Arabidopsis thaliana: one gene and its partners. The protein of the gene in region 2 purifies or fractionates together with the protein of the main gene of each other region. This does not show direct contact. Each region holds a gene or a part of one and is shown on either strand. Other genes may lie near its edges.

Evidence for each region.
Region 1: the proteins of TRS120 (region 2) and AT3G05000 purify together in Arabidopsis thaliana (affinity purification with mass spectrometry, with the first as the bait; one study listed by BioGRID). This does not show direct contact.
Region 3: the proteins of TRS120 (region 2) and SEC5A purify together in Arabidopsis thaliana (affinity purification with mass spectrometry, with the first as the bait; one study listed by BioGRID). This does not show direct contact.
Region 4: the proteins of TRS120 (region 2) and SEC3B purify together in Arabidopsis thaliana (affinity purification with mass spectrometry, with the first as the bait; one study listed by BioGRID). This does not show direct contact.

What each region holds. Positions count from the first base shown.
Region 1 is NC_003074.8:1,386,661-1,390,430, forward strand, and holds AT3G05000 (Transport protein particle (TRAPP) component), read right to left. Parts: upstream 2,172-3,770; 5' UTR 2,038-2,171; coding exon 1,886-2,037; intron 1,413-1,885; coding exon 1,295-1,412; intron 1,213-1,294; coding exon 990-1,212; intron 813-989; coding exon 784-812; 3' UTR 515-783; downstream 1-514. Other genes in the region: Cand2 (Protein of unknown function, transmembrane-40), read left to right, coding at 2,943-3,227, 3,534-3,725.
Region 2 is NC_003076.8:3,493,513-3,501,216, forward strand, and holds TRS120 (TRS120), read left to right. Parts: upstream 1-1,682; 5' UTR 1,683-1,819; coding exon 1,820-2,230; intron 2,231-2,422; coding exon 2,423-2,629; intron 2,630-2,736; coding exon 2,737-2,919; intron 2,920-3,102; coding exon 3,103-3,212; intron 3,213-3,285; coding exon 3,286-3,345; intron 3,346-3,822; coding exon 3,823-4,111; intron 4,112-4,272; coding exon 4,273-4,562; intron 4,563-4,864; coding exon 4,865-5,745; intron 5,746-5,856; coding exon 5,857-6,762; intron 6,763-6,874; coding exon 6,875-7,098; 3' UTR 7,099-7,433; downstream 7,434-7,704. Other genes in the region: ALF4 (aberrant root formation protein), read right to left, coding at 62-121, 237-403, 728-800, 890-1,039, 1,138-1,317, 1,474-1,638. UniProt on the Arabidopsis thaliana protein: Specific subunit of the TRAPP II complex, a highly conserved vesicle tethering complex that is required for the proper transport of proteins in post-Golgi trafficking pathways to the growing cell plate in mitotic active cells.
Region 3 is NC_003070.9:28,846,094-28,853,886, reverse strand, and holds the start of SEC5A (exocyst complex component sec5), read right to left. Parts: upstream 6,017-7,793; 5' UTR 5,875-6,016; coding exon 5,449-5,874; exon of another isoform or gene 5,165-5,448; coding exon 5,010-5,164; intron 4,902-5,009; coding exon 4,816-4,901; intron 4,690-4,815; coding exon 4,495-4,689; intron 4,414-4,494; coding exon 4,286-4,413; intron 4,207-4,285; coding exon 4,048-4,206; intron 3,908-4,047; coding exon 3,803-3,907; intron 3,548-3,802; coding exon 3,473-3,547; intron 3,268-3,472; coding exon 3,130-3,267; intron 3,038-3,129; coding exon 2,852-3,037; intron 2,724-2,851; coding exon 2,595-2,723; intron 2,464-2,594; coding exon 2,337-2,463; intron 2,254-2,336; coding exon 2,043-2,253; intron 1,642-2,042; coding exon 1,526-1,641; intron 1,409-1,525; coding exon 1,180-1,408; intron 953-1,179; coding exon 859-952; intron 766-858; coding exon 688-765; intron 601-687; coding exon 544-600; intron 416-543; coding exon 266-415; intron 123-265; and 1 more. Other genes in the region: AT1G76840 (uncharacterized protein), read left to right, coding at 6,599-6,866, 6,981-7,046, 7,125-7,321. UniProt on the Arabidopsis thaliana protein: Component of the exocyst complex involved in the docking of exocytic vesicles with fusion sites on the plasma membrane during regulated or polarized secretion. Involved in polarized cell growth and organ morphogenesis.
Region 4 is NC_003070.9:17,465,006-17,472,548, reverse strand, and holds the start of SEC3B (exocyst complex component sec3B), read right to left. Parts: upstream 6,015-7,543; 5' UTR 5,799-6,014; coding exon 5,624-5,798; intron 5,213-5,623; coding exon 5,142-5,212; intron 5,000-5,141; coding exon 4,919-4,999; intron 4,718-4,918; coding exon 4,650-4,717; intron 4,526-4,649; coding exon 4,423-4,525; intron 4,249-4,422; coding exon 4,100-4,248; intron 3,712-4,099; coding exon 3,594-3,711; intron 3,483-3,593; coding exon 3,378-3,482; intron 3,101-3,377; coding exon 2,999-3,100; intron 2,923-2,998; coding exon 2,785-2,922; intron 2,604-2,784; coding exon 2,475-2,603; intron 2,392-2,474; coding exon 2,311-2,391; intron 2,232-2,310; coding exon 2,157-2,231; intron 1,978-2,156; coding exon 1,807-1,977; intron 1,714-1,806; coding exon 1,557-1,713; intron 1,464-1,556; coding exon 1,399-1,463; intron 1,303-1,398; coding exon 1,132-1,302; intron 1,048-1,131; coding exon 968-1,047; intron 750-967; coding exon 668-749; intron 407-667; and 5 more.

The DNA of each region.
Region 1 (3,770 bases), on a different chromosome or scaffold from region 2:
ATTAACCTAGAAGTTCCTAGTTCTAAACCGTCACACTAAGACTCAAGAGTAAGCAAAACACCAACATTAGATTTTTAAACTAGACTCTATGAGCACTCAACCAAAAATAATTTACAAAACAATCAGATGATTACGAACCACGTCTCCAAAGACAGATGCCGGAACACTACCAACAAATGAAGAATCGACATAAAGATGTGAGAAATTGAAACCCTAGAATAAGAAGTCAAACCACCTTACACAGGAGTCAGATTCACAAGAACAAAAAAAAAACTAAAAATTACATGGAACGAATAGGAGACAAATTAAAACATAACAATCGTTGTCTTCTAGAACCTTAGAAGAGTGTGGATTCCAGACCTAATTCCCAAATCAGTGACTTCTTCTGAGTTTGGAAAGTTGGCTAACCAAGGCCGAGAAGAAAGCTCCACTAAACCAAACGATTTGGAATTTGGATATCGAGTTAGTTTTTTTTTGTAGTATAAATTTTTTCAAAAAGAGTTTTTCAAGTTTTCCCAAATGTACGCCTTTTTTAAAAATGATATGAAATGGAGATGCATCAGGAATTACTGTATATAAGATATCAACAAAAATTTACAACAGAAAAATAAAAGTCATTTCAAACATGAAACCAAGCCCTCACTGTTTAAAACAAGCACCACAAGGCTAAAGTGTGTCAAAAGAACAGCAAACAGAAGCCTGCAATGGGTTTTAGATTGATCAGACCCGAAGGATCTATCTTCCTTGAAAGTATAAAGCCAAGTACTCGAGCTAAATGCAGAATCAAGCCTTGACCCGAATCACGAAAGAGCCTGTGAGGACATGACAAGGATAGTTACCGAACTGAAGCAACTTATAATGACAGGTAATAAGCAATATTTGAAATAATTTTCTATCTTTCTTCCCTCCAATGTGTGATTTTGAGAATATAGAAGAAAGTGAAAGAATATAAGAATTTCGAAAACAAGCAAAGCAAGCTGTGAACTCACATGTGGGAAGGCTTGATATATCTGCAGAGACAGCACAAGGTATCCCCAAGTTGGAGAGGACACCTCTAATGATTCCACACGGGAAATAGAGGTACATGCTCACCGCTTGTGCAGCTTTGCTTTCCCCTGGAGTAGAAGGATCTTGGGTTTCATTCTCAGATGAAGGGTCAATTGAGACACGAGACAACCACCGGAACTTGTTGTCTTGTAATACAAAAGTACCCTGAAGAGAAACATTCCATCTGTGAATAACACACACAAGAAGAGTTTTGGTCTTTGTTCAGGTAAAATCCCAGTTATCTTACCCGGTGATTTGTCTTTAAATTATCAATCTGCTTCTTGAAGACCTCAGACCAGAAGTCTTTGCAGATAAACTTGATTGCCTCTAGATGGTCACTGAACCTTGGTCTTTCCATAGTGTACCTAACGACATAAAAAAGGCTGAAGTTATGCACAATCAAGTAAAATGCTAAATATCTGCCATCATACAACACTGTAAAACAGTTTTTATGTAGGCAAACACCTTCAGAAGCAACAAAACATGCCTCAACAGACTAAAATCATTCTTCGTACACACACACTATAACTAATCAGGGACTAAGAGAATCATTCTTCTGAGACAACAAGAAAATTTCCTAACCAAAACATTGCACGATTAAATACAAAAATTAGCCACTAGAGCAATGAGAAAAAAACTCGAATCAGCGCCATATATCTTCCCATCTATCACATTCTCAGCCAATTACACACGAGAAACGATAAATCCAATATCAAAGAGAATCATTGCTAACGATATACATTCGCCATCATCTTCAGATCTACAACTAATACTAGCAACCTAGAGATACAATGATCAACCAGATCGAAAGAAGACGATGATCAAGTGTAAAACAAACCTCTCGGAGAGCTGGTGGCCGACCTGATAACCAATGGCCTCGATCCTCCGAGCGGCGAGTTCCGGCTTGTTAGCATAGAATCGGCCACTGTACATCGCCACCATCTCCATTAACATAGTGTCTACACAGCTCTCCGCCACTTCTCTCCCCATTTCTTCTCTCTCTCTCAGACTCTTTCCGTCTTCTCTCCACCGGTTTGGGGCTTATGCAACGAAGCTCCGATCTATTAACTTGTAGAGTATTTACATTTAAGTCCTTAATAGTTTTCTATTATTTCTGATCTGTGACTTCATTTTTTAAAGAGTCATGATAACCTTAATCTCTGACATTTAAACCGGATCGTCTTGGTTCAATTTTCCTTCAAATACCCGATTTATACAATTATTTCAAGTGAATGGAAATTACTTTTGGTGTGCTGAATGCTGATCATTTATGGTTAAAAATCAATTTTACTTGTATAATATGAGATATAAATATAAATAAATAAATCATGATTATTGAATAGGACTTTTTTAATATCTTTTTGGTGGGCAAAAGAGAGACAATTGTCTCCCACGTTTTCTAATTTAATTAAAAAGAATAACACATTATTGATTATTAAATAGCACTTCAAAAATTTACATTTCATAAGATTGATTTTGAAATTAGATCAGCTTGTAATAAGTCTTTCAAATTTAAGATACAGAATTGAAAAGAATAATATTTAAATTCTTTAAACATCACATGTCCAATAATTAACTCTTTAAACATCACATGTAAAATCAGTTAAAAATAAAAAGGATGAGAAAAATGATAGTTTTTTTTTTTTGTTTTAGAGTGGAAGTGGGAGAAGCGATGATAATTACCTATAATACCCTTTAACTTTTGTGTAATTACTCATGTTTGCGTCAAGTGTATGGATTTGGTCGCCAGAGAGAAGAAGAAATATACGATTCATACGAATTCTGTATCGCAAAAACATCAAATCTCGAAATTGAGCTCCTTTTCTGGAACTAGGGATTGCTTTCCGCTCCTTGCGCTAAGTCTACTTGGTTTCTGATTCGTACAATTTGATGAAATGCGAGTGCTCAGCGAGATTGCGGAGTCACCGTTCGTGATTTCTCGGCTAAGCCCTGATTCGACGGCCACCGGAGGGTTTATCGGCGGATGGGTCGGGAAGTGTCATGGGTTTCTTCATAACACGGTTTTGGTTTTAGCATCTATTCTATTCGTCGCTTACTTAGCGTACGAGGCGAAGAAGAGCTTGTCCAAGTTGTCTAATCGGAGATCTTACATTATGATTGCCTATTATGGTTTTCTTTGGCTTGTTAGCTTGCTCAATCTTGCTTGGTGTTGCCTTCAGGTTTGTTAAAGTTCTCTTCTTTACTTCGATTCATTTCACAAGTAACTCATACCTATGTTGCGTGTAAAGAGATCAGAACTTAGATTGAAGAAGAATGCTTTTTAGAGTGTTTTAGGCTCTGTAAATGTAGAAACTTTGCGATCTTATCAACATTGTTTTTATTCTACACTGGTGATTAGAAAGCTTTTGTATTTTGTGTAAGCTATTAGTGTTGATTTCTTGGTTAGATGCTGCTTAACAGGAAATGTTTTACCTGATTTAGTCTTACTCCAGATTTCGTTTTGAATTTACTTTTCATGAGTTTAGGCATGGGAATGCACTCCGGGGAAAGAAGTTATTTGGAATTTGTTAACTTTGTTCACAACATCTGGAATGTTGTTTCTGGAAGTAAGCTTGGTAGCCTTTCTCTTCCAAGGAAACTATGCAAGCGGTGCTGAAGCATTAACACGAACTTTCCTCATCTCGGGGCTTGTCATTGGTCTCGATTTGCTTCTCAAGGTAGATTTGTGTTCATAACTGTTAGATACACTTTCTGATATATAG
Region 2 (7,704 bases):
TAAAAGAGAAAAGTCAGAAAAGTTCCATGATATCGAAACAAAGTTGGAATCAAGTACAAACCGTTATCTGTATCACATAGAGACAAAGTAGACAACGGACTTTTGCTTCTTCTTCGTTATTCTGTAAAACAAAGAAAAGAGATCAAATCAGGCAAAACGAATATTCAAATTAGAGAATTTACACTTTGGGTAGTGATTTAGGGAATCCTAATTGCCAATTTATCAAACTTACAGACCAGTTTTGAAGAAACGTCTCGAATTGAAGAGGCAATGCCTAGAGCCTTATCAAATAAATCTTCAACTTGCACGTCTGTTTCCAATGAAATGTCCTTCAAAACGTTCAGGACAATTGGAACTGCAACCTTTAATTGCTCGTAGTGACGCCTCTGGATCAAAATAAATACTGAAACCAGGAAATTTGAATAACTTTTTACTGCTTCAGTTCACGAAGACTAAATTAATATCTTCAGTAACAAAACTAGTTAGGGATTCAAACACAAACTTTAAGATATTCATACTTAAGTACAATCAAAGCAAGAGTATTACTAAAATTGCAGGTGCCAAGCTAAAATTCACTTTCATGAGAGAAGTCTATAAATTTTAGGATATTCATACTTGTGTACAATCAAAGCAAGAGTATTACTAAAACTGCAGGTGCCAGGCTAAAATTCACTTTCATGAGAGGAGTCTATAAATATCTTGAAAACGAGAAATCTTCAACTGGTACCTTTAGAGAGCCCATGCAATAAAGGAGTAGAACAAGTGGAGGCTGAATGATAGCACCGTGCAGCATCGAGTGCCTGGTTCAGAGTCATAAGGTGATCAAAAAGAACTTGTAATCTTCTTATGCCAAATACCAAGAAGGAAAAAGAAATTCCAGATCAATTACCTCACAAAGAATTGAAAGCATATCCCGTGGATTGCATGCTTCCACAAACCGATCAACGATTTCCTCAACTAACTGTAAACATCTGCTTGATATGTCTGCAAACTTGGAAGTTACTTTTGGCAAGTGAAATGACAGTGCATCTATAACATCCTGTAATAAAATGAATCGGGGAACAAAATCATAAGCTTGGTTCTCTAAACAAAATCCTTCCGTTTGGCTTTGAAAGCGATTCGAAAACTGAAAAGTACCTGATCCATTTGAGGAGATGATAAAACTTTCAAAATTTCATCTAATACTTCTTCAATAACATCGTTCTCCAGTTCATTGTTAGCATCCAAAGCTACGTTCTCATACAAAGAATCCAAACAGCTGACAAGTTCTGTCACAAAACTCTCAAAGTCTTGAAATCCTCCGGCTTCTTCAACTGACTGAAAAATCACAAAATTAGCGGCGAATTTTTCATTCGAGCTCCAAAAATCACGAAACAGCTAAGTATTCATCGATCTCAAAGCATCTAGAAATTCCACCCAGAAAACAAATTACACAAACCCGAAACGAGGAGAAGAAGAAGAGAGAAAGCTTACACTGAAACACAAAGCTAAAAGTTCTCGTACACGACGCGAAGGAGAAGTAGTGACAGTAGTTGACTCGGAGCTCCCTTCAATGGACGATTCCATAACGCCAAAACTTTTCAATTTCGCCCAAGTTTCGTTCACAGTGAGAGTATTAATAATCGCGAATTTAACCATATCGTTTGGTTATATGAATAGAGTTTAACCCCGGATAGTCTAATTCTAACTAAGAATAGTTTAATACCTGTACCCAAACAGACCACGTTCTCTCTCTCAACACTTTCTCGTTTTCGTCTCCTTCAGATCCGGTGCACTCACGCTCACCGAAAGATCCTCACTCTCCTTCTCTGATCTCGCCATGGAACCTGACGTCAGTATCGAGACTTTGTCGATCATTCGGATCGCCGTCCTTCCGATCGGCACTATTCCGCCGACGCTTCTCCGGGACTACCACTCGATGCTGCTCCGTCATCACACGATCGCGCTCTCAGCTATTAGCTCTTTCTACACTGAACATCAGAAATCTCCATTCACGAATCAGCCGTGGGATTCCGGCTCTCTCCGGTTCAAATTTGTGCTTGGTGGTTCTCCTCCGAGTCCTTGGGAGGATTTTCAGTCTAATCGGAAGATGCTCGCCGTGATCGGCCTTTGCCACTGTCCCTCGTCCCCTGATCTTGATTCTGTCACTGAAAAATTCAATGTCGCTTGTAAGAGTTATTCCTCGGCTCTTGTCCGGCGCTGCTTCGCTTTCTCCCCTGGCGATTCGCAAGTAAGTATATTAGTTTCCATGCTTCTTATCTGCTATGGCATTCTTAGCTCGATGCCGATGGATCTAGCTAGCTTTTTTCTGATTTGTCTCTACAGTTGATAGTGATGTCCATTTTTTGTACCAGTGATTTAGTTACTTGCTTATGGATGCGTTAGATTGACGATTTACTGAACAATGTACTGTCTTTTGCAGCTTGAAGATGGAGACAAGAAGGGTGAAAATTTGATTTTGTTTCCTCCATCTGACAAGCAAACTCAGGAGTTTCATTTACAAACAATGATGCAAGACATTGCCGCTTCGCTGTTAATGGAATTTGAGAAGTGGGTTCTTCAGGCAGAATCTGCTGGCACAATTTTGAAGACGCCTTTGGATTCCCAAGCTAGTCTCAACTCAGAGGAGGTTTATGTCTAGGTGTCCTATAATTTGGTCTACGTTTCATTTCTTCCTCTGGAAGCTTATAACTTATTAGCATAGTCTTCTAGGCTCACTAGTTTTGTTTAATGCAGGTTATTAAGGCCAAAAAGCGTAGGCTGGGACGTGCACAAAAAACTATAGGAGACTATTCCTTGTTGGCTGGTTCACCTGTTGATGCCAATGCTCATTATTCTACTGCTCTGGAACTGGCCAGATTGACTGGAGATTACTTCTGGTATGCCGGTGCCTTGGAAGGCAGTGTTTGTGCCTTACTGGTAAGGCTTTATGCAAATATATCTCTAAATGCATTGTTCTTACATTTTTAATAGTATTATAGTCCAAAAACATGGATAGTGATGTGCTGTTTATCGAAAGTGCACTGATTATGAAATTGCTCTCATCTGTCCCTCTTTAATTAAGTTTGCAATCATCTTAGTTTTCCGTTTTCTTAATATTAGGTAGATCGGATGGGTCAACGTGATGTGGCTTTAGAAGATGAAGTTAGATATCGATACACTAATGTTATCTTGCACTACAGAAAGTCATTTATTCAAGAAATTGCTCAGAGGTAATTCTACCAACCTGTTTGGCTTTCTTCTTCGATAAACTTAAGTAATAGCAATCAATTCTCTTCCTTGCAGAGTTTCGCCCCTAAGCTTTGAACTCGAAGCTACCCTTAAGCTGGCCAGATTCCTTTGCAGGTATCATTGTATGCTCTCTATTTCTTTAAATTATCATGGTGTGGTTTCCTTTCTTGCCGTCTCCTGCTTAAGTTTAAGGTTGCTATGGTATTTTTGTCTAGTAGGAAGCTATATCGCTACTAAAATTTAAATATAAACTCATGGGATCTTGTGTGTGTGTGGCTTTGATCCTCTAAAACTATCTGCAACATTCAACTTATAATACCAATATATTGAGATTACTATTAAGTATTAAGTGGCCTAGTGGAGGATGGCTGTATGTTAATGTTTTGTGATTGATGGTGATGTTAGCTGGGAAAAGAATAATTATTACGTTTTGAAAAAGCTAAAATACATGGGTTTTCCGTTTAGTATGAAATGATACTCTCTGGTTGTGGCAGCTTTTATGTTTTTTTAACCTTCTGGTTGCATCCTCATTTTTTTCTTGGTATCTTTGATCTTAATCATTCTTACAATGTCATTTTATGTGTTGTGCAGGAGGGAACTGGCTAAGGAAGTAGTAGAGCTATTAACAAATGCAGCTGATGGTGCAAAGTCTTTAATTGATGCCAGTGATAGGCTCATATTATATGTTGAAGTAGCGCGTTTATTTGGAGCCCTTGGTTATCAACGGAAAGCAGCCTTCTTCTGTAGGCAGGTCGCCCAATTGTATTTGCAGCAAGACAATCGATTGGCTGCTATCAGTGCCATGCAAGTTCTCTCTATGACAACTGATGCATACAGAATTCAAAGTAGGGCATCCATGTCAAAAGTGTCGGTTAACAATGTGAGTTTGCCAGCATAGGCATTATTTTTCCTCTCTTGTGTTTGATTGAGCATGGTTTTCTGGAGTTTTTTTTGTTATCATCACTTTTCACTATCTTGGTATTTATCCATGTATCATACTTTGATAATATATTGTATCTTCTCTTGTGTTTGTTGGTAAAGGAAACTGGGCGCCTACCTGACGCTGGGAAAATGCATCATCATTCCATTGTCTCCCTGTTCGAGTCCCATTGGAGCACTTTGCAGATGGTTGTGCTTAGGGAGATACTCCTCTCTGCTGTTCGTGCTGGAGATCCCTTAGCTGCATGGAGTGCTGCAGCTAGGCTTCTGAGGTGGCATTATCCTCTAATTACACCTTCAGGTCAAAATGGACTTGCTAATTCCCTTGCAAATTCAGCGGATAGATTACCTTCTGGAACTCGCTGTGCTGACCCTGCCTTGCCTTTTGTAAGGTATGTTTATCAGCAGTCAACCTTTTTGCTCTCAGAGATGTTTTGCTTGTGCACTCTCACCATCATGAAACAACCTAACTTGGTCATGTTATATTTCCTAGCACTCTAAGTAGAGCAACGAGATCAGAAAAATAAGTAATAATCTCTTTTAATCCATCTCTTGGGCTTCATATATGCCCAATATGTGTTTATTTTCAGGAATGTGTTCCATGTTTGGTTCTTAGCTGACTCTGGCAAAACTGTGTATGTTTTGGCAAATTTTAATGGTTCTTCTAAGCATGATTATTTTAATGAAATTTCAGGCTATTCTCTTTCCCACTCCATTCCTCCCAAGTGGACATCGTAAAACGCAATCCAGCAAGAGAAGATTGGTGGACAGGCTCTGCTCCTTCTGGGCCATTTATTTACACTCCTTTCAGCAAAGGAGATGCCAACGAAAGTAGCAAGCAGGAATTGATTTGGGTGGTCGGTGAACCAGTTCAGGTCTTAGTGGAGTTAGCAAATCCTTGTTGCTTCGATTTGCGGATTGATAGTATTTATCTCTCAGCTCACTCGAGTAACTTTGATGCGTTTCCTGTCAGTGTGGACATTCCCCCTAACTCTGCAAAAGTGATCACATTATCTGGTATTCCAACAGCTGTAGGACCAGTGACAATTCCAGGCTGCACAGTTCACTGCTTTGGTGTAATCACTGAACATGTGTTCAGGGATGTTGACAATCTGCTTCTTGGAGCAGCACAAGGACTTGTATTTTCTGACCCTTTCAGATCCTGCGGATCTGCAAAGCTACGACATGTATTTGTTCCTAACATATCAGTTGCTCCTCCATTGCCCCTCCTTGTGGCTAATGTTGTGGGTGGTGATGGTGCAATTATTCTGTATGAAGGTGAAATTCGGGAGGTGTGTATAAATTTTGCAAATGCTGGCACAGTTCCAATAGTACAGGCACATGTCTCGCTCTCTGGAAAGAATCAGGATGCTGTTATCTCGATCGCAGATGAAGCTTTACAGTCTGCTCTTCCCTTGAAACCTGGGGCACAAGTGACTCTGCCTGTGACTTTAAAAGCTTGGCATGTGGGTCCAACTGATTCTGACAATACTATGAGCAGTGGCAGGAATGCTGCGGGTAACACAGGAAGACCAAAAGACGGAACCAGTCCATCATTGCTTATTCACTACGCAGGTATTCATTTCTTCCTTGACGTATGTTTCTATGTATCTTACTTTTTCAGTGCTTCATGTATCCTCACGATGACTAATTACTAAAAGCATTTTTGTATTCATATTTTTGCAGGGCCATTGTCTAACAATGGGGATTCCCAAGAAAAAGAATCTATCGTGCCACCGGGCAGACGGCTTGTTGTTCCCTTACAAATTTGTGTTTTGCAAGGTTTGTCGTTTGTGAAAGCTCGTTTGCTTTCCATGGAAATCCCTGCACATGTGAGTGACAACCTTCGGGATGAAGACATTGAAAGAGAGAGCAATGCAGACAGCCTTGTCAAGATCAATCCCTTTAGGGGAAGCTGGGGACTACGGTTTCTTGAACTTGAGTTATCTAACCCAACAGATGTTGTTTTTGAAATCAGCGTCTTCGTTCAGCTGGAAAACTCTGCCAAGGAAGATGATTCTTCACCAGTACAAGATTCTCCAGAGTATGAATACCCGAAAACAAGAATCGACCGGGACTATTCTGCTAGGGTACTGATTCCATTGGAGCATTTTAAGCTACCGGTTCTTGATGGTTCATTCTTCACAAAGGACCCTCCACCTGGTAGCCCTTCAAGTAGTAGAAATCCGAGCTTCTCAGAGAAGAACACGAAAGCTGAGATAAACACATTGATCAAGAATCTCATCTCTAAGATAAAAGTTCGGTGGCAATCAGGAAGGAACAGCTCAGGAGAACTGGACATCAAGGATGCAATTCAGACAGCTCTCCAGACGACTGTGATGGATGTTTTGCTCCCAGATCCGCTAACATTTGGTTTCAGACTGGTCAGAAACGGTCTGGAGAAGGATCCTGAGACAAAGGCTGAGTCCCCATTTTCAAAGGGATCTGTTCTGTCACATGAAGTCACTCCTATGGAGGTTCTGGTCCGCAATAACACTAGCGAAGCTATCAAGTTGAATCTAAGTGTTACTTGCAGAGATGTAGCTGGACAGAACTGCACTGAAGGAGCTGATGCCACTGTCCTCTGGGCTGGTAAGATTCCTGTCACTAAGTAATAAATATTTGTGTAACATAGATATTTGCTGCCATTATAGCCGTGTGTATTACAATGAGATATGTAAAAGGTGGCTTATACTTTTGTCAGGTGCTCTTAGTGGAATCTCAATGGAAGTAGCGCCGCTGCAAGAAGCAAGACACTGTTTCTCACTCTTCTTCCTTGTTCCAGGAGAGTACACGATGGTAGCAGCTGCTGTAATTGAAGACGCTAACAATGTACTCAGAGCACGAGCAGGAACTGCTTCTCCAAACGAACCCATCTTCTGTCGTGGACCGCCTTTTCATGTCTGTGTAGCTGGAGGTGCACTGTGATTCGTTAACCAAATCAGGTCTTGGCATTATAATTTATACTCTGTTTTTTGCTCTGTTAGTTGATTTCTCGAGAATCAATTATAAGTTCCGGGTTTAAGTATGGGTCTTTATAAATATCTCTATAATTGCTTGTGTGTTTGTCTCTGTATTTACCTTGGGTCATCTTATGACCACCATGCATAGACTATGCTTTTTTGGAATTTTACGGCCTCGGTTCTGAGACTACTTTTCTCAAAGTAAGTGTTTGTACTCTGCTCAGTGGGATCACTTTCAGTGATAAAAAGAATAAAACGATTATAGCATAATATTAGCAAAAATAAAACTATTTAACCATGAATTCCTTCCCTATTGTGTATTGAAAAGGTCCACAGAGCAATGACATAACTTTCACCGTCAAATAAATACCATTCATTGATATAATCAAACAAGGCAGTGAAGTTTCCCCAAAGCTCGTATGTCGTGTATTAGTGGCCTTACGGATTAATCAATAACTAAAAAATAATACAATAATTTACTTTAGAAATAGTTACGATTATTAATTTAAAGCAAAAAAAAACTGACACAAAGTATCTTTGGCTAAAGAGGATTGTCCTATTCTATTGCGTT
Region 3 (7,793 bases), on a different chromosome or scaffold from region 2:
GTCTCGACTGCTTCACTGATGCTCTCTATAGCTATCTCCAACACGGTTCCTTGTAGAGATTTAAGAGACTCGGTTGCAGCGCTTGTAAAATATGAATACAGTACTGTTTCAAAATATTCAAGCTGCAGCAGTTGTGATGAAAATTCAGAATTAGCAAATCACAAATCTGCAAAGCTTCTCTGCTTCTGTAAAAACAACTTTGTTTCTCATTATGAGATGAAGTTTTTGTTAGTGAGCATCTCTAATGATGAAAAGAACAAGTTACCTCAAACATCAGTTGGCAGAAACCATTTGCATCAATTGATCTTAGGTCACTTGATCTGTTTTCTTCCACAACACTCAGAAAAGTGTCGATTAGACCTTCGATCAGCACGCCAAGAATCTTGTCCAGGAGGGGTTTAGCACCAGCAAAGACCTGCAGTTTTATTTTCCGGTGCAAAGTTATTAGGATTTTACACTATGAACACTGTCGAGGAACACATTTTAATGTCAAAATGTCTAAAGAACCACAAAACGACCAATAATTTTTTTTCATGAGTATACCTCTGCATGGACAGCTACAAGAGTGTGCAACAGCTCAACAGCAGCATCTCGTATGCCCTGGAAGATTGGAGTAAATATTTAAGTAATTCTTTTCTTCATTCAAATCAAGAAGCTAATAGATATCGTTTCGCATAGATTTCTTACTTTCACTTGAGGTGCTGATCCCCATTGAATACCAGAGTCCAGCAAATAATTTGTGGCCGCTGTTCTGATCAAATTTGCCTGAACAGGTGAAATTCTCGGAAATTTAAAGTTCTATTTATAACACTTAGCAAAAGCATACATAGGCTAATATGGCTGGAAAAAAATTAATACCTTAGCAAAAGTGTAATGCTCGAGGACCTTCTCTCCGAGTCCAGAGAAAGACATTATTAGATCTTGAAGATCACTACTGTCTTCATTTTTGTCTCTGAATAAGTGAAAACACAAAAATCTTAGTTTAGTGAGCTATAACACCATATACAAAATCCACCCATGAGAACAGTATTTGATTATGAATCACATCAAATTTAACCGTTAATACCTATTATCCAGTTTGACTCATTTAAGTATGCACGAGTATGCCCAACTTGTTTACCACTTAGTAAAGACGATGTTCAGAAGAGCACTAATGACGTTTATTAAGCAGGGACTAACCTAGACTGTAACCATGTATATTTGAACTTGTTGTAAAGCTCTGAAGCAAGTTCATCTTTGCAGTAACCTATATTACTTAAGACCATCAACAACCGCCTGTGAGGATCAATTACACTTCCGTAGGTGTTGGCTGATGGTTCTTCCTGATGCTCATCAGAATATCCGTTTTTCCAATTATCTTGTCTGGAGGTGCTTTGGGAAAGATCAGCACCAATTTGCTCCAAGTGCGCTGGCATATGGTGAAAGCAAATTAGCATATCAACGTAACCACTTTAAAGTGTGCATTTGCCTGCATTCCGGTGTTTGCATGAGGATATTATCAAGGATGCTTGGTTAAAATTCGTACCAGCAAAATCCAGAAAGCAGTTCAAAAATGCCAGTCTAACGGATATTATGATTTCTTCAATTTGGGCAAACATATCTTCTGATTTGGCAGCTTCACTTTTGACAGACAGAATCATCCTGAAAAAGGTATACACGGAAATCAACAGGTTAACAAAGTAAACACTGTGGTATGAAAAAAGTACACATTTGTATATGCAGTTTCCTGAATAGCAATGAGAAGCATATAAGACCCCTTTCCTATCATACAAACATGGTACAGTCATTTGATTTTACATGTCTCAGCATAGAATTGGTAATCACGGTATGACAAGCTAGAATCACAATTACTGACTATTGGCATTTTGTTTTTTCTAATGTATACAGAAAAGACTAGACCTTGATGTATGTACTGGAAACATAGACGTCTGGAACTCCAAATACAACAAATAGAAAAAACTGGGGTTTTTCACTTCCACAGTGTAGTAAACCTCACAATGTAAATATTTTCTATATGTTACCAAAATACGGTTGAAACTTACAGATTGACTTGTTCCATGCCAGAGACAATAACTGAACGGAATGCAAGAGGCAAGTAAGAGATGGCATATGGAGATCTATTCCTTTCAAGAATAGAAACCGGGATCCACGTCTCCTCTTTTGATATTCCTTCCGTGGAGGCCCTCATCCAAGAGCAAAGCCTTTGGATATAAATCTTAGTGATTTCCGCCTGGATTTTTCTCAGTGCAACGACTGCCATAACCAAAAAGGTTATACAGCATCTTAGTCTACTTAAATTAAACAGCAAGCTCAAGCTTCAGAAGAAGTTCAAATACCAGCACTGTGGGGCGTTGACTCTTTGGCTTCAAAAGCTTGGCATGCTTTTGATACTTCGTTAATGGCATCACTCATAAATGGGCGGAGAATGCATGATTCATCAAAATCACAAAATGTGCTGTTCACCTACAACAGCAGTAATCAGGAGAAGAAAATATTTAGAGCCACTTTATAGCACAGATACCACAGGATTGTCCTTCTAATGTGAAGAAAAGTTCCAATGAAGAGGTCACTTAATTAGAAAACAAAGATAATACCTTTGCTTCATAGACAGAAATAGTCTTGCGTATCATCCCAGCAACTTCTTCCAAAGAATGAGTTGAATATCTTGCCTCTGTGACCTTCTCCTCAGCTTTATTGGCTGAAGTATCAGTAACTTGGGAGGACTAAGCAAATCAAAGTTAAATTCAAATCAAATGAAGAACTATTTCCAATTCAAGAAAGAAATAATAACTACAGAATTAATCTACTCTTGGGTCAGTATAGGGATCTAAGCAGAAAGAATAGCGGATACCTTGGCAAATTTTCCACTGAAAATAGATATAGCTGTTTTCCAAAACACAGGGATATGATGCACAAGCACAGCAGTCAATCTTTTGATGTATCTTCCCTTCAAAATATCAATCTCTTCGCTGGGGAATTCCACTGATTGTAGGTCAACTTGAACTGCATTATTTTCATTAGAAGAGGCGGTATCTGACTAGAGGATGAAAAAACAAGGCACGTTATCATCTAAAGAACTGAATATTGAATAGTCTTTTAATGATATATCATTCTCAATGCTAGACTCACATATGAAACGCCATTTTGTTGAATTTGTTGCCACTTTGCATCTGAGATGGCTTTCTCATGAGTGTCGTTACGCAAAATTTCCACCCTTGCTTCATGATCATATGTACATTTCTCAAGCAAGCCGTGGATTCTATGATTCTGTAATTAAAGAGCCAATTATGAAAATACACGAGGATTGCAACAAAAAGTGTAGGAGACATATAAATGTGCTAAGTTGAAACAAATGAAAGATTTTATAAGCTAAAAGTCACTCTGATACTCAAAGCAAATCTATTAGGAATCCAGATTCCACACAGAACATAGTAAGAAGTAGTAAAAGAGTGACATCTTCGAATATACCGACCTGAACATTTAGATAATGCCACACAGGATCAGATTCGGGTTCCAGCTCCAGCAAAAGCCTCACAGTGTTTTCCAGCTAAAATAAGAACAGACCTCAGATATCAAGACAAAAAAATAGACTGGAAAAAAATTTAGTCATTTTATTTAGTAGGTACAACAACTGGGAAAATGTAAAACGGGATATCCTAAATAAAAGTTAACATTCATGATGGCTGCAATATTGACATGATATCAGTAGTATGGTTAATGCATTTGGTGAATATTTGAATGAAGGATTGTTCAGTTTAATTACTAGTTGACATTAAAATAAAATGAATTATAACTGACATACACTTGTAAAGTCTATTTTCGGATCTTCCATAGACTTGTATAGTGTGCCTTTAAATTCCAGCATAACTTTCTCAACCTCCTCGAGTACACGCTTGAGTATATTAACCTGAAAGCAGCTTGTTTTTCTATATTGTCAAGAGCCTTGTTATGTAATTAAATTAAATCGTAATAAAAAGAAGGCTCAGTGCTTATAGGAATGTGGATAGGATCTGTCTCAAGAGAGTGTGATTGAAAATTCAGGCATACATGAGAAGGTAGAGCAATAGATTTCGCCTTCTTGTATTCTCGAACAGCCAAATCATATTCACCCTTGCTAATACTGCTACGAATGATACTGGGTAAATTGAACAGTGTCCGGAATCTCTGAAGCATTCCTTGGACAGACCTGATTTTCTCAGCTTGAGCCTAAATGTGATTTTGAAAAAGGCTTCAGCAAAATGAAAGAGAGTGACAAGCAAAAGAAGTAAATCAGAATCACACCAACCTGTCTCTCAAAAAGTGGCTCAAATGCAAGATTGGCCCTCGATGTCACACTTTTCATACAATTAAACAAATGAGTAGTTCCTGAACCTTCGGGGTCTTCTTCAATCCGCTTCAGTTTTGACTCAATATCTATTAAGAAAATCAGTGGTCAACATGAAAATGAAAGAAGAAAAAAACATAAATTATTCAGTTGGAAGTAATAATACATACCATCAATTGTTGTTTTACATGAGACGAAGCAGTCAAAATTGTCCTTCACCAATTGTTTCCTTTGCAGATTCCGACCCTTTAAGTCACTTTTCAAGCCAAGGGCACCAGCCTCCAAATCTGCTGCAGTCGTGTCTTGGTGAATACGGGAAAGAAACAGCTTCGGATCGAAATGATCAGAGAAGTAAACCAATTTTTCTGCAAATACTCAGAAAAAGATACATAACAATTAGACAACTGGAAATTGTACATCGAATTAGCCCTCCAAAAAATTGTAAGTGCTACTGTTCACTCGAGTTGTAGATATGGTAAAGAAAGACATACCGCGAAGAGTATTATCCACTTTCTCAGCTTTTGATGGGCTGCCTGACGACTCAGTGATTAATCTCAATGTCTTATTGTCTATGATCCTATGAAGTAGACAAATTCAGGTTTAGATATGTTCTACCATATCAAAGACAGAGTACAAAGCATCTGACTGGCTTCCATGGTAAGCAAAACGAAACGAGAGCAATTACCCTAATTTTAGTGGATCAATACATTCCATTCCACGAGGAAGTGACTGCAAACTAGTCAGAGCCACTTTCTTCCCAGGTGCAGGTGCTTTACCTTCTACTTTCTGAACCACGGGTGCTGTTCTCGATTCCCTCATATCACGAACCCTACGAGCAAGCTGCCAAAATGCCACCGGAATTTCAGTGAAAATGGTCATCTTTCCACTTATACATCCATATGATGCTATGGTTCTAAAATCACTAATGGCATGCTAATTATCAAGCTCTCTATATCAACTCAACACCAGAAACTATGGATAGCATTCACCGTATCCCACGAATGGTATTGTTCAGTGTCGTACAATTCAACAAATAGATCAATATATCGAATTCAAACTCTTGAACTTGATCGAACAAGCAAAGCCATAAGCATTCACTGATGAATCTCGCCACAAATACATACCTCAGCTTCATTAACCCGTTTCCAACAATCAGGCTCTCCTCCATCCCAAGCACCATCATCTTCCTTCCTCGCTCTTCCCTTCTCTCGTACATCGCTACCTCTTCCTCTCCCCGCACCACCACTAGAACCACCTATTTCCCTTTCCCTCTCCAAATCATCATCCCCGCTCGAAATGCTAAGCAATTCCACCTCCGACTCCTCATCCTCATCCATGGAAGGCTTCCTAACCGCCGCAGCAGACTTCTTCGGCGGAGCGGCAGCCGCAGCCACAGGCTTCTGCTGTCGAGGCTGCTGCACTAAATTGGCAACAGGCTTACGAGCAGAAGATGAAGGAGGTTTCTGATAGGTGAGATCTCTCTTAGCCTGCTCTTTCAACGCCATTTGAAGAAGCTCATCTTCGTCAAGATCATTGCTATCGCTCGACATGTTTCGGCGATTCAGATGATCGATCTCAGTCTCCTCCGCCTTGAGCTATAGTTAGAGATCTGAGAAGCTTTAGTTTCGATTTTGAGATTTCAGTTTGTGATTTGTGTGACAATTTTAATTTGTTTTTTTTTTTCTTCCAGAAATATTGATTTTTAGATTAAAAGGTGTAAACGTGGAAAAATCAAAACATGGCGATGATAAGAAAATAATATTTTCCGGTGTGGTGGCTTTTTGACCGGATAATTTGGTATGAAGGACAGACACACAAGATGTCAGTAACTCGATTTTATCCTCAAAAATGACTCTTAGATTAATTTAGATTATTTGCAAAAAATTATTACGTTGCGACGTGATTTGTCCTTCTCTGAGATATACATTTTGAATACTGGAAGCAATGAGTAATTCACAGAAAAGTTGTTCCAGTATTGACTGTGAACGAAATGGAGCCTCTGTTGAAAATGTCAAGATTCAAGAAGCTAAATGTTAGATTGACAAGGAACTCTTCGAGACATAATTCATTTGAGGCTCCAATAGTAGTTGAAGAAAATGAATCAAGAGTGCATTAAGGATAAGCCATAAGGAATGATTGATGATTCACCTTATTTCCTCAGAAACCAAAGGTGCAGGATCTGTTATGATTATGAGAATGTTCTGGATTCTACACTGGAAAAACCAGTTGATAGTTTCTCAAATAATAAGCACTAAAGAGTTGAATTCTGAACTTATGGAAGGACAACGTGAAGAGAAAATTGAGCGAGACACAGTTTTAATATCTGCAGTTAAGGAGGACAAAGAGGAAGTATCATCACACTCTGTACTTTTTGTCAAGCGCTTATCACCTGCTTCAGTGCAAGTACCAGTGAGCAGCACTGAAGCTGAGCTAGTCGTGTCTACTGGCCGTTACCTTGTTAAGAATATCGTTTCAATATCTATTGCTGAGAAAACTACCAAAACTAAGAGAGAAACTCTTATTTGCACTCCTAGATCTGAGAGTGTAGCTCTATAGAAGGTATATACTTGTATTCATTTGATTTGAGTTACTTTTTCAGTTTTATGGCTAAACTAATTTTGTTCTAATCCGTGTTTCTTTCTGATTTTAATCACAGCAATCTTGGAAAACTCAGTTGAATGTTGGAAGGAGATTCACTCAAACAAAGATGATGATGTGAAAGGTTCCTTAGAGAAGGAAGTACAAGCAGCAACTTTACATGGAAACTTTTTTGAACACAACACTTAGAACAACAGTGCAGAAGAAAGAATGGAGATAACTAAAGTCGGTTGTGCGAGTGTTGGTCATTGTCTGAATCTAACACCAGAAAAACTTATGGATGAGTACACTCAGTTGGAGCTAGAAGAAGCAGTCGGCACTAAAGTCAAGAGGCTCTTCCGAATAAATGAAGACAGTGAATCAAGAATTCGTAAAAGAAAAGCCACAAGGAATGGCTGAGGAGGAGGACTTACTCATACATCTGAAACCAAAGCTACAAAACATGTTATGGTTTTTTACACTAAAAGTTTCAGGTCATATTTCACCGGTAAGTAACACTCATCAAGAGGTGGATTCTGAACCTTTGGAAGGATAACATGAAGAGAAACATGAGCAAGACACTATTATGATGGATGTGATTAAGGAAATATGTATGTTGCATGGTATTAGTCGTAGATGAGTCCTTTATTGGAATTGAAACATTTGTTCAGTCTTTTGGTCGAATTACTGCTAGTTGTAAAACAGAAGAGTAATATGTCTATACAAGTGTGTAAATAGTACTCTTTTGTGCCAAAAGATTTGACTTAGTTCCTCCTCTGTTATCTTAATAGATTTTACAACTTTTTGGGTTGAGTACTGAGGCTGACCTATAAAACTTAATAAAACTTTTGTTTCATCAAAAGGCTCTCTAATGAAAGTTCCATCTGAGTGA
Region 4 (7,543 bases), on a different chromosome or scaffold from region 2:
AATTGCTGCAGGGACGAGAGAACACATGAAGCAAACACAAACGGGTGTACCCTTAACAATAAATCGAAAAGAATGGAAAAAAACGGGAGTTATGCTATTAGCTGCAAATGGGGAGAACCACTTACATAGTAAATTATCATGCTAATGTGGCGCGTACAAGCTTGTTCATATGCTTCCATTGCCTGGTCATAGAACTTGGCTAAAGTCGGCACAACATTAGCCAGGTCAAACAGGCTGCACAAACAAAATGTACAAGGTTAGGGAATAAGAAGACAAACCAAGAGAGAGAGAGTTAGAAAAGGACCTACCAAGTTTGAAAAGCAGCATAGTTTTCCAAAAGGAGAATATCTGCATATTTAGGATCTTGTTGGGCAATTTTCTCGAGGGTCACAAACAGTATGCTCACCTATAAAACATTAGGAGTCAGACTCTATCAGCTAAACAAGGAAAGAAACAAAAGAAATTGACGATAGTAAATGCAGAGACAATCTGAGATATACTTTACTTATATGTTGTTGTTAAGAATGAAGTCATGAGCTAATGGTGGGTTTATACATTGTAAGTGAACTAAGATCATATGCAATCAGAGACTGTCTATTATTGCTTACATGGTTTGTGTAATTTCATTAGTCATGTTCTATAAACTCATAAAAATAGCTGTACTCACAAATTTTGTGTACGCCTGATCAACCAAATTTCTAGATTGCCCTTGTATGTACTGTTCCATACGAGTAGCAAGTGCTGCAAATCTATGAAAATGAGATAACAATATTAGGAAAGCCTCATGTTAATACTATAACGGGTTCTTGGATCACCTATAGTCAACCTGAACAACAATCTAAATGGGAGAAATAGTTCAGAACCACAAAATTGACTGAAATTATAAACAGGGTGGACGGAAGTACTAACTGGTGGGGACATAAATAAGTATTCACATGGCACTTCAATGTATGGACTTCTTGATTACCTTGGAATATATGGCAAGACACCCATCTGTCTTACATTACGTTCATTTTTTTCAATTTGGTGACAAGCTTCATCCACAAACTGCAGTTAAAGTCAACTTGAATTGATTAGTAGGAATGGTATGCCAGGAACAAAAACTAAACAATCTCTGAGTAGACGGACTACATGGCTGAATTGCATAGAAATTCTCGACTCCAGATCTCCAAGCAAAAGGCGAACAAATCCTGCAGCATCAGCTTTCTGACCAGATAGATAACGTTCGGTTATACCATGCATTGATATAGACCGTAGGGGGTCTATTTTATATGCCCAGTCAACAACAGCATAGAAATCCTCCTGCGATGACAAGAACACAAATCTCTTATTTAGTAAGACAAATGAACGCTACCTCTAGGTTTTCACATAGAAACCTTATTTTGGGGGACATCTTACCTGAATACCATCAAGTAAATCTTGAAGAGATTCATTCAATGCCGTCAGGTCTGGAGAGTTTTTACCTGCAAAAATTGGAATATTGTTTTGCTTTCAGAACCATTAGACCTTATAATATGTAGCGAATGCTTTACTGATGGCAAGCAGTTTAAGTTTACCAGGTTTCTTGTCAGCTTCATCAATGTCCATGATCCCCAAATCATCATTATCATTACCATCGTCATTGTTGGACTGGCTTTTCTTATCATTGCCAGCACCTCCAGGAGGAGCAAGAGCAGGTACCTCAAAGCACATGAAGTGCGCAAAAAAGGAACTCTGTATTATGAAGCAAAAAAGAAACATGATGATTTAGTACATATATCAGTTGCATCTAAAGACCAAACAGAAAACCATTCGGTTGACAATGACCTCATCTACAAGAAGCGGGATGAATATTGTTAACATCTTGGCATAAGCATCTGACACTGCAGAGGTGTCAGTGTTTGCATTCTGACTAGAACCCGTAGATCCTTCTAGCCAAACAGTAGGATTTCGTGATACTTTTGTGCTTGCACGAAGCTCCTTCGCGAATTCACGAGCCTATATATTTTGAAGAAACAAATCTCTGGTAACTGAATATTTAACGCTAAGGAAGAAAATAAAATGTTTGCTGAATATCCACACATTAACATTCAGTACGTTATAGCAGTCTTTTAGTCAATTAAGTGTCCCAGTTAGTCAGCGGTCAAATTGATAAAGAAACATATATTTGTCCTCACCTCTCGACGAAGGAGCAAGTTCAGGGAGCTGCAGTATGCTTTTCTCAATGGTCCCAAACAATTCTTATTAAGACCCTGCAACAAGAAAGGAGACAAGCAATCAATGTACTGCATGGAGCTTTTAGCATGTCACCTAGCCATTTCTCGGTTTTACCTTTAAATGTTGCATAAGACGAGCATATGTTCTGCATTTGTACCGCAAATCAGCATGGTCAGGCCTCTTCAGCTGCCCTCTCTGTTTAAAAGATGCGGTGATAAATATTCAGAATTAGTCACTAGACTTCATATTGGTACGATGGAATTTTATAAAAGTAGTACCTGAGAAAAGTAGCTTTTGTCACTGAACTTGAAATCTACCAGACTAGCAAAGTAGTCTCTCAAGAACTCTGAAGCTCTCCTTACAAAAGTAGCTTTTAATTTTTCTAGTTCTGCTCGTTTCTCTTTTACCTGAAGAAAATACAGCAAGAGTATTACAAAAAAGTAGACAATAGTTAATGAATGTTACAGACAATTATAAATGTATTTTTCTATTCCCAAAACGTAATGTAATAAGCAAGGCCGATTTACTATAAAATTAGAATAATAACTAGAGATACCGAATTAGAAAGATCTAAGTGATTAGGCATACAGCTCGCATATTAGCATAGATCGGGTCTAAGTTGGGCACTTCAAGACCCCTTAAAGCTTTGGCTAACCACTCGCAAGCCTCAATATTCTGAAGCATGTCTGCTTCATCAAATGAGCCTCCTGTTAGGGATGCTGCATACTGCAATCAACAACACTTCTATAAGCGAACCAATTAGACAGAAGAGAAGTAAGCAGAAAAAAAGAGTGAAACAAACCTCAGAAGGCACACGCAGTCTCTCAATAACTTTATCAAGTTCCTCAATGAGAGCTTTATTGTTTACAGACTGCATCTCTAACTTGTTGTTTCGAATTTCTATCTGGTAACCACAAAACAAAAAAAAAGTGAGAACATGTGTCGACATATAAAGGTTTAATCAGTCCAACAAATATACTTGGAAATCAATTTCTCTTTCACCCCTACTCTTGCAGATTTCAGAAGTACTATGAAAGAAATTACCAACCAAAAAGAAAAAATAAAGCAATGTATGAGAAGAGTTTATTGACAACATACAACAACTAATTTCTCACTGCAGTGACATTGTCCTTATAATAAAACAAAGCAAAAAAAGATCATTTATAGGTCAAGAGTCCTACCGATTCAATGTCTTCCCTCATGTGTCTAAGTTTAATGTTGAATATTCCTAACCATTCATCCATGTCATCAACGATATTTGTTGCTGCCTCTAGTCCATTCAAAACCTGAAAAGCATGAAGATGATCATATATACAACAAAATTTAACACTCGCATCCCATGAACTGTCTAATAACAAGATAATCCAAAGAATAATAATTAGCAGAAAAGGAATTACCTCATCTACTAATGGTTCGCTTTCCAGAATTGCATGTACATTTGCCGCTTCAAGCGCCTGAAGCTCTCGTTTCAGCCTTTCAGAAAATGCCTCAGCTTCACCAATGCCAATCACATAACTGTATATGACAATTATATTAGTTGAGTGAATAATCTGACAAAATAAGTGGAATAGATATCTGCTTCCATTATCTTTTTATCCCCAGCAAGCTAGTTCTCAAAGAAACAATGCCAATAGTTTAAACTAAATTCAATCAAGAGGAAATATGCAAGGTACTGATTCTACAATTACTAATCATGCTGGACATATAAGCAATTCTAAGTTAGTCAGAAACCTAGTCTCCCAAGCTTAAGATTTAGGCGGACTCTTCTCTCTTCATTCCATATAACAAATACACAAGTAGATAAAAAAAACTCCTCCTTTGTAAGATATATACTGATTTTACACTTAAAAAAAAGGAACAAAATGGATTAAACAAATGATGAAAGGAACAGAAAAAGACATACGTTCCCAAGAGAGCCTCCATATCCTCTTCCTCGGCCTGAGAGACTAGTTCTTTCTCAACAGTAACTTTCAAGGCGCTTTCTGTTACAGATTCAGCAACAGGCTCCCCATCTTCTGTACTTCTTTGAGTAGTGACTACTGGAGTGTTATCCTAGACCAATATTATGAAACAAAGAAACACAAATTAGATAACTTTCTTATATGAAAAAGCACTCACATATCTGAAAGGAGGGGAAAATGACAATAACAATTACATACAAAAGCTTCTTTCGAATATAAGAGACTTAGACCAAAATTTAAAGTTAGAATAAGTTATAGTCTAAACCTTTGCCCAAAGGGCCATCTCGACAATATCTATACCAACAACTTTTGGAAGGCGGCCTAATACGTCTTTGCATATGTTCAATATGCAAACTAAAAGTCGGTTCCTACAATCACGACAGAGAAAGGTATGTATTAAATGAGGAAAACTACGTCAACAAAAATACCATCGCTTATCATGTATACTTCACATCTTGTAATAGTTAATATTGATGTTGCTAACTGCAGTACCTGTCATCAGTGTTGCGCATGGTCCACTGTGGAGGAGCAACACTTTGACTCCTGAGATTATCAAACCCCTAAAAGACTTTGCATCAGCAAAAGCAGTGGGAACATGGAAAATATTGAACAGTGTTTTACAAATTATTTAAGTAAAACCCCTAAAAGACTTTGCATCAGCTTTTGTGTTCCATCTCTTACACCACATGCTACGAATTATTTAAGTAATTATGCATTTCTTCTTGAAATCTTAGATACTAACCACTTCATCAAAATCTTACGAGGGTAAATGTGCATCCACTTGGGTCACTAGTTATGACTTCCACCTTTGACAGATGCTTGAGGTCATACATTTTAGCAGGCTGGATGAACAGAGAATTATAAAACATCATCAGTCAATCTATATTGATTTTTATCAATCATTTTTCTTCCAAATTAAAATGTTAAACCTTGTACGTTACTCGTGAACGTGTGTCTCACATGGAGAAAGAAAATGAAGATTACCTCCAGAACTCCTCCACTTGAATACTTCATGACTCGAAGAATTGCTTTCTTTCGTGGACCCTTCGATTTGACTGTAGAAAGCAGAATAACAAAAAGCATACTCAGTTGATTACAACTCTAAAGAACCTAAAACCAATTGGACGAGAATGCTTGAAACGTGGATCAGAGTAAACATATCTTCCACTTGAATCATAACAACACAGATTCTCCTCGAGTACACTAGATTGATTCACCTAACAGACACTACCAGAATCCTTTTTGTTGCTCAGGAAAACCTAATTGAGCTCTCACGAGTCATAAAATGGCCAAGAACAGTAGAATTTCATCGATTTAGTATTCAACAGATTCTCTAAATTCCATAATCACCGAATCTAAATGCTTAGAACTAGCCAATCAACGCGAAGAAGGTCGAAGTAATTAAAAGTGAAATGAATCAAATCAGAACAATCAAAAGAGAGAAGAAGAAGGTAAGGTTCTATCACCGGAAAGAGCGAGAACTCTGGGTTTAGCCATTTGTCGACCCAATTTTCCAGACTTGCCCCAAACACCGCGACTCTTGGCCACACGTATCGACATGACGATCGATTGCTTGGTGCCTTCGATTGCCGCCTCGCAAGCTCGCCGAAGCTCTTCATCGTCGGCGCTTGACTTGGCCATTGTTGTTGTTGCGGATCCAGCAAGGAGGTGATGACCGGTAGAAGAGAGAAGAGAAAAATAGTGCCAACAACGTGGCAATAAGCCTTATTGTAGTGCCAAGAAAGGTTGAATCTCTCTTTTGTTCCCATTTCTTTTCTTTTGTTTGAATGATTCATGATAGTAACAACGACATGTTCACAATTTCAAAAAGGAAACGAGCGCAATCAAACTCATTACAATAATCTAATGCACCAGAGATTGACCGGCGGTGGGTTGAAGTTTTCATTAGAAAGTGAAATATTTTATTTTAATTAATATTATTTATATATATATTTATACCACATGCGTATATTTTTTTATCAACAAAAATGAATTTTGTCTTCAAATTTTAAGATTTTGCGTATAGTTATATATCATTCTATATTAATATCAACTAAAACTTATTTTACCATGTAACCCTATCACGTGAAATTAAATATTATTTTATCTTTTTTTGAAAAATTTAAATATTTATAATATTTGAAATTTCAAAAAAATAATAACAACGATCTAAACTTTATAATTATATTTTTATTGTAATATTTAGAATTTCACTCGTAATATACTGTCTCGTATTAATATTATTATAAATATTTAAAACGTTTTATAGTATAACTTTTTAAAAGTTTTCAAATTTTTAATATTTTTAATATTTTTAAATTTTTAAAAATTCAGTTCTTTAAAATAATGATTCAGAGTAAACCGGATAACATTTTTAATTTTGGATGCTTCATAAATCAAGCTTTCGACTTATTCGTATTCAAACTTTTGGTTCTTTTTATAGTAAGATTTTGAATCATTGCCCAATTTCTTAAGTAATGTGGGACATTTTATACATTTTTTTTTCTTTATCGATTGAGTTATATATGTTTGTTTTTAAAAATTTGAATTACATGATATGCAACAACAAATCTAATATTTTATTAACTATATGTATTTTATATAAAATCAAATAAATTAGATGTAATAACAAATAAAAGTAAAAGAAAAATCATATATTTATATTTAATATAGATACAGAAATTTTAGAAAATTAGTAATTAATTGAATGTAGTTCAATAATGATAAGATTTAATTAAAAATATAAATTTAGACAAATATGTTTTAAGATAGATTTTGTAGAGACTAAATATGTAATAAAAGAATAAGTTAATTCAAGTATTTAGTGCAAACTAATAAATTATAAGTTTTTAATAATACAATATTTAGTTGAGATATAATTTGTAAAGATCTAAATGTTAATAATAAATAATAAAGAGATTTTTGGTCAAAAAGGCTACTAAAATTATATACGTAGATTTATCAATTTCAAACACATTATGTAGCCAAAAAGAGTGGTCTTCTGCCTACATAAGATTGCACTCCGTCCACCATTACGACTTTTTTGTTCCCATTTCAGTAAATTGGTTTGAATTTACGTGACAACTCCTTATTGTAGTTCCAACAACGTGGCAACTCATTATTGTAGGACCAACAAAAATTTGAGGAAAAAAACATTAAAGCAAGGGAAGAGCAAAAAGCTACACACCCAGATCAAAACAAATCTGAACGTTATGCAGGTTTTCTCTCTCTTCTCTCTCAAAAGTTTTTGAGAGAGAAAGCTTTTGGCCTTTCATTTTCCGACGATGATGATGTCGGATTTTGTTTCCGGCTATGTCCGGTTTTCTCTTTCTCGCCTATGTGCGAGATCCTCTAAACTATCTTGGCTTTTGTTTGTTAAGTTTTTT